Saccharomyces cerevisiae S288C: one gene and its partners. The protein of the gene in region 1 interacts with the protein of each later gene in a biochemical or structural test. Each region holds a gene or a part of one and is shown in the gene's direction. Other genes may lie near its edges.

The links. The genes of interacting proteins can lie anywhere in the genome.
Region 2: of the proteins of CDC28 (region 1) and NDD1, one has a biochemical effect on the other in vitro, tested with the Saccharomyces cerevisiae proteins (6 studies listed by BioGRID).
Region 3: of the proteins of CDC28 (region 1) and ORC6, one has a biochemical effect on the other in vitro, tested with the Saccharomyces cerevisiae proteins (7 studies listed by BioGRID).

What each region holds. Positions count from the first base shown.
Region 1 is NC_001134.8:558,513-561,747, forward strand, and holds CDC28 (cyclin-dependent serine/threonine-protein kinase CDC28), read left to right. Parts: upstream 1-1,565; coding exon 1,566-2,462; downstream 2,463-3,235. Other genes in the region: IFA38 (ketoreductase), read left to right, coding at 173-1,216; mannosylinositol phosphorylceramide synthase catalytic subunit CSH1, read left to right, coding at 3,122-3,235. UniProt on the Saccharomyces cerevisiae protein: Cyclin-dependent kinase that acts as a master regulator of the mitotic and meiotic cell cycles. Required to drive the G1-S transition. More than 200 substrates have been identified. Substrate specificity is in part regulated by the bound cyclin protein.
Region 2 is NC_001147.6:1,034,307-1,038,374, reverse strand, and holds NDD1 (Ndd1p), read left to right. Parts: upstream 1-1,903; coding exon 1,904-3,568; downstream 3,569-4,068. Other genes in the region: NUD1 (Nud1p), read right to left, coding at 1-1,541. UniProt on the Saccharomyces cerevisiae protein: Transcription activator involved in G2/M transcription through its association with FKH2.
Region 3 is NC_001140.6:343,821-347,513, reverse strand, and holds ORC6 (origin recognition complex subunit 6), read left to right. Parts: upstream 1-1,885; coding exon 1,886-3,193; downstream 3,194-3,693. Other genes in the region: histone methyltransferase SET1, read right to left, coding at 1-1,471; protein channel TOM71, read right to left, coding at 3,246-3,693.

The sequences.
Region 1 (3,235 bases):
AATGTTTCGGATGTTCTGTTTTAAGTCCGCGGGAGGCCTTTTTATTTTTCGCTTTTTTAGAGATTTCACGAATAAAAGCGTTGCAGAAATGCAACTTCAAAAGAGACTGAAGGAAACACAGATAGAAGAACAGTCTTCAAAGCAATCAATTCGTGTCGGTGCAGCTTAAGAAATGACTTTTATGCAACAGCTTCAAGAGGCTGGGGAAAGATTTAGGTGTATCAATGGTCTTTTATGGGTTGTTTTTGGGCTTGGTGTCTTAAAATGTACAACGTTATCACTTAGATTTTTAGCTCTTATTTTTGATCTTTTTTTACTACCAGCAGTCAATTTCGACAAGTATGGTGCTAAAACTGGTAAATACTGTGCTATCACTGGTGCAAGTGACGGTATTGGTAAAGAATTTGCTAGACAAATGGCGAAACGTGGCTTCAACTTGGTATTGATCTCGAGAACGCAATCTAAATTGGAGGCTTTACAAAAAGAACTAGAAGATCAACATCATGTCGTTGTAAAGATTCTAGCCATTGACATTGCGGAGGATAAAGAATCCAACTATGAATCCATTAAGGAATTGTGTGCGCAGTTACCAATCACCGTTTTGGTCAATAATGTTGGTCAATCACACTCCATTCCTGTTCCATTTTTGGAAACAGAAGAGAAGGAGCTTAGAAATATTATCACTATCAATAACACTGCTACATTATTAATTACACAAATCATTGCACCAAAGATTGTGGAAACTGTGAAAGCTGAAAACAAGAAGTCGGGTACTCGTGGTTTGATCTTAACCATGGGCTCATTTGGTGGTCTGATTCCCACCCCACTTTTGGCTACATACAGTGGTTCGAAATCATTCTTACAAGGTTGGTCTAACTCTTTGGCTGGGGAATTATCTAAAGATGCTATCGATGTTGAATTAATCATTTCATATTTGGTCACTAGCTCGATGTCTAAAATCAGAAGATCATCTTTAATGATCCCAAATCCACAACAGTTTGTAAAATCCACTTTAAGAAGCGTTGGCAGACGCTGCGGCTCTCAAGAAAGATACGCTACTATGACCCCTTACTGGGCGCACGCAGTGTATCAATTTGTAATTACAGAGACCTTTGGCGTTTACTCTAAGATTGTTAACTCCATTAATTATTCCTTCCATAAATCTATCAGAATTAGAGCCTTAAAAAAAGCCGCAAGACAGGTTAAAAAGGAATAGAATTATCGTTCTCGAGATAGTTTTTATACAATACATATATATATATATATATATATATTTACAAGAAAAGCATGGCTTATGTATTATACTTGCTTATGTACCAATATATACATATATGGCCTTATTAGGGCAACAAACGCCAAAAATAAAAACGAACCTAAATGAGAAAAAAAGAGAAAAATTTGGAAAACAACAAGAACTCAAAAAAAAAAATTGGTGGAAGGACCAAGTCCTCTTGAAAGAAAATTTAATACTGCTTTTCCAGAATATCATATTGGAAAAAATATTCAAGCCAGCACATCAGCTACAGTGGAAAATAGCCCAGATCAAATAGAACTATCCTTCGAACATGAGCGGTGAATTAGCAAATTACAAAAGACTTGAGAAAGTCGGTGAAGGTACATACGGTGTTGTTTATAAAGCGTTAGACTTAAGACCTGGCCAAGGTCAAAGAGTAGTCGCATTGAAGAAAATAAGACTAGAGAGTGAAGACGAGGGTGTTCCCAGTACAGCCATCAGAGAAATCTCATTATTGAAGGAATTAAAAGACGATAATATTGTCAGATTATACGATATTGTTCACTCTGATGCACACAAGCTATATCTTGTTTTTGAGTTCCTCGATTTGGACCTGAAAAGATATATGGAGGGTATTCCAAAGGACCAACCGTTAGGAGCTGATATTGTTAAGAAGTTTATGATGCAACTTTGTAAGGGTATTGCATACTGCCACTCACACCGTATTCTGCATCGTGATTTAAAACCGCAGAACTTATTGATTAACAAAGATGGGAATCTAAAACTAGGTGATTTTGGCTTAGCGCGTGCTTTTGGTGTTCCGTTGAGAGCTTACACACATGAAATTGTTACTCTATGGTATAGAGCTCCGGAGGTATTACTGGGTGGAAAACAATATAGTACAGGTGTCGATACATGGTCCATCGGCTGTATATTTGCCGAAATGTGTAACAGGAAACCAATCTTCAGTGGCGATAGTGAGATCGATCAGATTTTCAAGATATTCAGAGTATTGGGAACGCCGAATGAAGCTATATGGCCAGATATTGTCTACTTGCCTGATTTCAAGCCAAGCTTTCCTCAATGGCGCAGAAAAGACCTATCACAAGTGGTACCAAGTCTAGATCCACGCGGTATTGATTTGTTGGACAAACTCCTCGCGTATGACCCTATTAACCGGATTAGCGCCAGAAGAGCAGCCATCCACCCCTACTTCCAAGAATCATAAGCATTATAATCTATTTCGCTATTATATTACAAATGCTACTGCACTGTCATTATAGCCTAGTAAAGTATATAGTGAATACAATATACTCAGTTTCAACATTATGATGGGTAACTCCATCAGAAAATATATTCATCGTCATATACGGAACATTCAGTTATACGCGAAAGTAAAAGTGAGAGCTTTTCAGGGGTTAAAAGCTGGGCGTGTTCCATGACGTATTTACCGAGGTCGTATTATCAAAGAAAATGAAAAAAAAAAAAAAAAAAAAAAAAGCGAAGAGGAAAAAGACAAACGAAAAACAAAACGAAATAACGCATTGTATGCTGGGGCCTCAATTGAACTTCTTTGACTATAAGGAGTTCGCTTGTTTAAAGCCGTTTCGCATCTGACTCGCCCTTGGTTTTTTTCTCTGTTCTTGTTTTTGACCTCCGCAAATTCATTGCTCTTTGAATTTTGAAGAGTTTCATTGTCACCGTTGAATAACCGAGACGGGTATTGTTTTTATTTCCTTCATTATTTACATCGCAACACGATTTTTATTAGCTTCCTCAAGGAGCGCTGACCGTATATAATATAATTTCAACAACCGAACAAGGCAGTGCGAAGCGGTGCACCTTACAACAGTGCTAAAGTAGTTACAGTAAACCAATTAATACGTGATGAAGAAGGAGTTGAAAATTCTTATAATAGCGAACATTGCATTACTTATCTCTATAATACATTACACATTTGATTTGTTGACGTTATGTATAGATGATACTTCCAAAGATGCG
Region 2 (4,068 bases), on another chromosome or scaffold:
GTGTTCATTTCATTGTCACTAAGGTTTAGCACTAATACATTCGGTAGTAGTCTTTGCATGCCAAACATATTCTTCAGTTTGCCCCTTGATAGGTCAACTTTCAGGATTTTTTCCCAATCGGAATCATAGCTTGGAGAACCAGATAGTTTACTAGTCAAGATTGATATTAGCTGCTTTTCAGTTTCGTTGAACGAGGTGTTTACTTCGGAAATGGACGTAATATCTTCAACCCGTTCAGCGGGGAAGGTCTTTAGTTTCTTGTGAGCTTCTAGTAGATTGGAATTAGAGATTGAACGAGAGGTACGCATTTGTCCTTTAACCTTCGCTCTAGTGCCATTTTTCGTAAAAAGGTCATTAAATTTTGGTGTGTCTAGGGGCGTGTCATCGCTATTTGCTAGATTTTCTTCTTCTTGTATTTTCTTTTGGCGGTAGCCAACATCACCTGGTTTGGTACTGGTTAATTCATACGCCTTCTTATCTAGAATTGAAGGTGCCTTACCGTTAGTGTGATTATCTCCAGTTGGTACCATTGTGGCGAACTGGGACTGGTTGGAAGATGTATTGTCCAGAGAATGTGAACTCGACACATCTAAGCCCTGGTTCAGCGGCGGATCCCATGCGCCGTGTGTATGGTTAAACTGATATCCCAATTGACCGGGTGAAATAGTGTTCAATGGAGGTTTCTTGAGAACTTTTGATTTTCTGCCTGATTGAGTTTGAGAGGACGACATGGATGACGATGATGAAAATTCAAAAGAATTGGAAGTGTCCTCTTCGTCCTCCTCCTTCGTTCTAGCGTTATCCTTATTATTAATATTAATACTATTATTATTATTATTATTATTATTATTATTATTGTTTTTGTTGTTGCTATTACTTGGATAAGAACCCACCAAATAATTCGATTTTTGCTTTTGTAATATGCCATCAAATACATCATGTGCCTCAGCTGCTGGGCCAGAATCGCTGTCATCAGAAAACGACGATGAGACCTTCTCAGCGTTAAAGAAATCTTTAGAATGTGAAATACTAATCGTATCATGGTTTTCATGGGTCTGCATAGTAGTAGTTTTATTCTTCATATCTAAATGTCTTTTAAATGTATTTGTTTCAAGAACTCCAGATAAATCCTTAACCAAGTCGCTCACAATGAGATCCGATTCAGGAACTTTGTTTGCAGTACCAACAGCGCCACCAAAGTTGGTACCACCGCCGCTACCAATACCAGGGAAATACTGCTTCCATTGAGCTTCTTGATGAGATGTAGCAGTCGTGCCTGAAAAACCTGACGGCACTTTCTGATGCACCGTGCTATAGTTGTTCAAAACTGTCATTGTAGGAGGTTTTTTGACAGAATCGGATATTGCAGGTTCCACAACTTGGGAAGTAAAATTTGAATCTTGAAAATCGTGGTTACTTTCATATTCCTTAAACACTTTACCACTGTTACTGTGCGCGTTCGAGCGTAGCTTTCGTGGTGAATTTATTGTAAGATTCTCCAGCTGGCTCGATAGTTCTGCCTCCTGCGTATCCATATCCATTTCGGTATGCTTTTACTATTCAACCTAGTCGGCAATTTTTTCACCTGAATATTGTTGAACACTTCTGGCATCCTAGATACTCATCTGTATTTATTCATTATCTGTTGTGCATCGTTAATAGCATTCCAGTAAACAAGTTTAGGTCACTACCCGCATAAGCCTTTTGGCGTTTGGCGTAACCCTCCTCGCGAAAAGAAACGGGACGCAAAAAAAAAAAACAACAAAACAAGAACAAAACAAAACAAATAGGACAGAGCCTTAAGGAGCTGCAAGGATCTTCTGAATATTTGGCATCGGCATTGTGGGTGGAAAAAGTGTCCAAATTGGAATAAATTGGTCAGAATAGAGCATTGATTCCAACTATGGACAGAGATATAAGCTACCAGCAAAATTATACCTCAACTGGGGCAACTGCAACTTCCTCAAGACAGCCCTCTACGGACAATAATGCAGATACAAATTTTTTGAAGGTAATGTCAGAATTCAAATATAATTTTAACAGTCCGTTACCTACAACGACTCAATTCCCCACGCCCTATTCTTCTAATCAGTATCAACAGACTCAAGATCATTTTGCCAATACAGACGCTCACAACAGTTCGAGCAACGAATCGTCGTTGGTAGAGAACAGTATATTACCGCATCATCAGCAGATACAACAGCAACAACAACAACAACAACAACAACAACAACAACAGCAAGCTCTAGGTTCACTTGTACCTCCTGCTGTCACAAGGACAGATACAAGTGAGACTTTGGACGATATCAACGTTCAACCTTCTTCTGTTTTGCAGTTCGGCAACTCTTTACCCAGCGAATTTTTGGTTGCATCCCCAGAGCAATTCAAAGAATTTTTGTTGGACTCTCCGTCCACCAATTTCAATTTCTTTCACAAAACTCCGGCAAAGACACCACTTCGATTTGTAACAGATTCTAACGGTGCTCAGCAAAGCACCACAGAGAACCCAGGTCAACAACAGAATGTTTTTAGCAATGTCGATTTGAACAATCTTTTGAAGAGTAATGGAAAAACACCCTCATCTTCATGCACCGGCGCATTTTCACGCACTCCTCTGAGTAAGATTGACATGAATCTCATGTTCAATCAACCGCTGCCGACATCTCCATCAAAAAGGTTCTCCTCCCTGTCGTTGACACCATATGGAAGAAAAATTCTGAATGACGTCGGTACACCTTATGCAAAAGCATTGATATCGTCTAACAGCGCGTTAGTGGATTTTCAGAAGGCAAGAAAGGATATTACCACTAATGCAACATCCATAGGGCTGGAAAATGCCAACAACATCTTACAGAGAACGCCGCTAAGATCTAACAATAAAAAATTATTTATTAAAACCCCCCAGGATACCATCAATAGCACTAGCACACTAACTAAGGACAACGAAAATAAACAGGACATATACGGCTCTTCACCGACTACCATCCAATTAAATTCATCAATAACTAAATCTATCTCCAAATTGGATAACTCTAGAATTCCCTTGTTAGCTTCGAGATCAGATAACATTCTGGATTCCAATGTGGATGACCAATTGTTTGATTTGGGGTTGACAAGATTACCTTTATCACCAACACCAAATTGTAATTCTTTGCATAGTACAACCACAGGTACATCTGCCTTACAAATTCCTGAGCTACCCAAGATGGGGTCTTTTAGAAGTGATACGGGAATCAATCCAATTTCAAGTTCAAACACAGTTTCTTTTAAGAGCAAATCAGGCAATAATAATTCAAAGGGTCGAATCAAAAAAAATGGGAAGAAACCTTCCAAATTTCAAATTATTGTGGCAAATATTGATCAATTTAACCAGGATACATCATCGTCATCTTTATCATCATCATTGAATGCAAGTTCGAGTGCAGGGAATTCAAATTCAAACGTAACAAAGAAAAGAGCAAGTAAACTCAAAAGATCACAGTCTTTACTTTCTGATTCCGGATCGAAATCACAAGCAAGGAAAAGCTGTAATTCTAAATCTAATGGAAATTTATTCAATTCACAGTAATATTAACCAAACTTGCATCTCACCTTTTTTTTTTAATCGAAATTTCAAGCATTTTTCTCTCCTTCGCTTAGTCTTGTTTCATCCCATTCAACATTTTTTATTACACAACATTTTGAAAATATCTTAAAAACAAAAAAGAACGATCACAAATTTATGGCACGAAGAATACATACATCAATCGAGGACATTTTTTACATTTTATTTCATAATCATCATTTTTTCTTTTCTTTACTACTATTCTGTGGTTTCATATTGTTCGTCAGGATGTTCATATATATTAAGGAGTTTAAACTATATACATATGATTAGGTAAATAGGTAACTATTTTCAATCAATTTATTATAAGTATCATTAATTGATGTTACTGCCAGATTTTACGATATTCCCTCTAATTTCCGGGTATCCCATAAAAGCAATTCCCCGGCGTATAATTTCATTATTATGACATGGCTGTTAGTATGGTATGGTGCCCATCACATAAGTCACATATCGAGTCGAAA
Region 3 (3,693 bases), on another chromosome or scaffold:
TTAGAATAGGAATTCTTCTGCTCCGAGACATTATTGTTAAATTTCCTGACTCTGCATTCGAACATGTTTGCGCATGGGCAATGTCATTAAAAATAATATAGATACCAGTTGGATGATCAATAAATTTCGCACATCTGTATCCCCTTAACTTGTATTTAAAGTCCTCAACGCAGAACCTATGTTTGGCAACAAATATTTTGGAGACATGTAAAACAGGTCTGTTATTAACTACCCCCAAGAGATCATATGGAATTCTTTTTTCACTTCCGGACGAATGAGATAATGTGTCTACCTTAGGTTCCTTGGGCAAGGTAATATCTTTGCCCTGTAATTCCTTTGCTTTTTCGTTTTCTGCTTCTTTCTCTTTAGCCTTCTTCAGGTTCTCTTGTAACTTCTGTAGCTTTTTGACATTTATTTCAACAAATTTAGAAATGATATTATTCAAAATGGAATGCTTGTTTAAAATCACTTCGAACTTGAAGCCCATGATAAAGCAACCCGAAGATTCGTGCTTTCTAACGGCACTAAAGGCTGCTTTTGCTGCATCATTAATTTTTCCATCAGAACTGGCATACTTTATAAGATAAACATGCAAAGGTAAAGCGCTATTAGGATCATTAAATGCTTCAAAATGAGAAATTTCTCCATACTTTTTAAAATAGTTTTTTATTGATATGTCTTGGATATTGGTTGTTGTTGAATCTTGCGCTGGATAGACAACTATTTCACATGAAGGGGGAGGCCCTAAGGAGTACCTGTCATAAGATATGCGAGGCAATAGAATTAGTGAGTTCCTGCATTTTCTGTGGGTTGCCACTTTTCCGCTAGTCATGATACCGTTTTCATTACGTGGGTCGGATGCTTTTATCTCCGGATGTCTGTGTTTTATTTTGAACTTAAACTGTCCATCTTGTAACTCTTTGACTACGTAATAACCTGTTTCAGAAAATTCTTTATCTGTAGCCTTCCACGAAAGCATCTTATCCTTATTGAAGAACTCGCCTTTTATGGGATCAAAATAATGAAACTTAGACTTCAAATTATCTGTGTTGTATCTCAAAACTGAAGGTGGTCTTTGTTGCAAAAGCAGAGCAGATTCTGTGGGAAGAGATCCACTCGAAGACGCTAATGTATTGTGAACATTGCTATTTGAATACCGTGATTGAGACATGCCCCTCCGACTACTGATGTCAGATTTCTTATTTACATATGGGCCGCTTTGGCTGTTGTTAGTAGCATAGTACTGTCGCGTACTTGCATTGTTTGAACTATGTGGGCGATCGTCATTATAGCGTCGCCTTGTACCATCATTATGGTTATAACGTCGACGTTGATTATATTGACTAGAATATTGTTGGTGAGAATGGCCGTTTGAATACTGATAGTGACCAGAACGCGAATATTGAGGCTGTTCCTGGGGTTGTCTGTATGAACCAGAAGACGCGTGTGCTCTTCTATAGTAATTTGACATTCTCTAAACGCAGAGACCTCTTATAAAGATTCAACAAATAAGGAATGTTACCTATGCTAGTCGCAACTCTCTCGTAAGTTGAGGGTTGCTAACAGAAAAACGATGAGAAGAAACTTTTGAAAAATATTGTGTGAAAGCAGCACGAAACAGAGTATGAAAAAAGAATGCGGGCGTCCGTAAAGAGCTAGAATCGCAAGTGTCCAGAATATGCAAGGCTTTCGAATACACTCCTCACGCTTCTCTTCAGCAAAAATCAACTCTTTGTGATAAAACTGTGTATTTCTTTGTTCTTTGCCGTTGTTTACGTTAGTAAGAAATCGGCATTGAAAAAAAAAATCTCACACTAAAATTGCAGAAAAAAGTGTACAATATCAGTAAATAAAATTGGCCAAAACAATACCATTAAAACCAGTCATGTCCATGCAACAAGTCCAACATTGTGTCGCAGAAGTACTTCGACTAGATCCACAAGAAAAACCGGACTGGTCGAGCGGATATTTGAAGAAGTTGACTAATGCGACATCGATTTTATATAATACTTCACTGAACAAGGTAATGCTGAAACAAGATGAAGAGGTTGCTAGATGTCACATATGTGCATACATAGCGTCACAGAAAATGAATGAAAAACACATGCCTGACCTTTGCTATTATATAGACAGTATTCCCTTGGAGCCGAAAAAAGCCAAGCATTTAATGAACCTTTTCAGACAAAGTTTATCTAATTCTTCACCTATGAAACAATTTGCTTGGACACCGAGCCCCAAAAAGAACAAACGCAGTCCAGTAAAGAACGGTGGGAGGTTTACTTCTTCTGATCCGAAAGAGTTGAGGAATCAACTGTTTGGTACACCAACTAAAGTTAGGAAAAGCCAAAATAATGATTCGTTCGTAATACCAGAACTACCCCCCATGCAAACCAATGAATCGCCGTCTATTACTAGGAGAAAGTTAGCATTTGAAGAGGATGAGGATGAGGATGAAGAGGAACCAGGAAACGACGGTTTGTCTTTAAAAAGCCATAGTAATAAGAGCATTACTGGAACCAGAAATGTAGATTCTGATGAGTATGAAAACCATGAAAGTGACCCTACAAGTGAGGAAGAGCCATTAGGTGTGCAAGAAAGCAGAAGCGGGAGAACGAAACAAAATAAGGCAGTTGGAAAACCGCAATCAGAATTGAAGACGGCAAAAGCCCTGAGGAAAAGGGGCAGAATACCAAATTCTTTGTTAGTAAAGAAGTATTGCAAAATGACTACTGAAGAAATAATACGGCTTTGCAACGATTTTGAATTACCAAGAGAAGTAGCATATAAAATTGTGGATGAGTACAACATAAACGCGTCAAGATTGGTTTGCCCATGGCAATTAGTGTGTGGGTTAGTATTAAATTGTACATTCATTGTATTTAATGAAAGAAGACGCAAGGATCCAAGAATTGACCATTTTATAGTCAGTAAGATGTGCAGCTTGATGTTGACGTCAAAAGTGGATGATGTTATTGAATGTGTAAAATTAGTGAAGGAATTAATTATCGGTGAAAAATGGTTCAGAGATTTGCAAATTAGGTATGATGATTTTGATGGCATCAGATACGATGAAATTATATTTAGGAAACTGGGATCGATGTTACAAACCACCAATATTTTGGTCACAGACGACCAGTACAATATTTGGAAGAAAAGAATTGAAATGGATTTGGCATTAACAGAACCTTTATAACATATCCAGTATTAACTAAAAGTATATATTTGACCAATACCTGACATATCTTCTAAAGCATGCCTTTAGCCCTATAACGAGCTAATGTTAGCTCCATCTTTGCACTTATGATTGGATCAGCCCTCAAACGCTTTTGTATCTTTGCAGCTTCCGCGAAGGTAGTAGCTTGAAGTTTTTCATCCATAGTTCTTGCTAAAATTGCAGAATCTTCAAACAATTCTATGGCCTCGTCAATTTTTTCCATTTGTAATTTTAGTTGTGCTAACCCGATCTTCGCTTGTTCAGATCGTGGATCTAATTCACAGGCTTTTGTCAGCAGCTTAATGGCTGCGTTGAATTTCTCTTCATCCAACTGGGTTGGATCTTGAGAGGATTGTCTAGCTAATATAGTTGCTTTCCCAATCAAGGGTCCTATACCCACATGTATTTTTTCTTGCACTTCTTCCAACCTTTTAGCAATATCATATTGTTTAATTGCAGTATCAAAATCGCCCCTATCT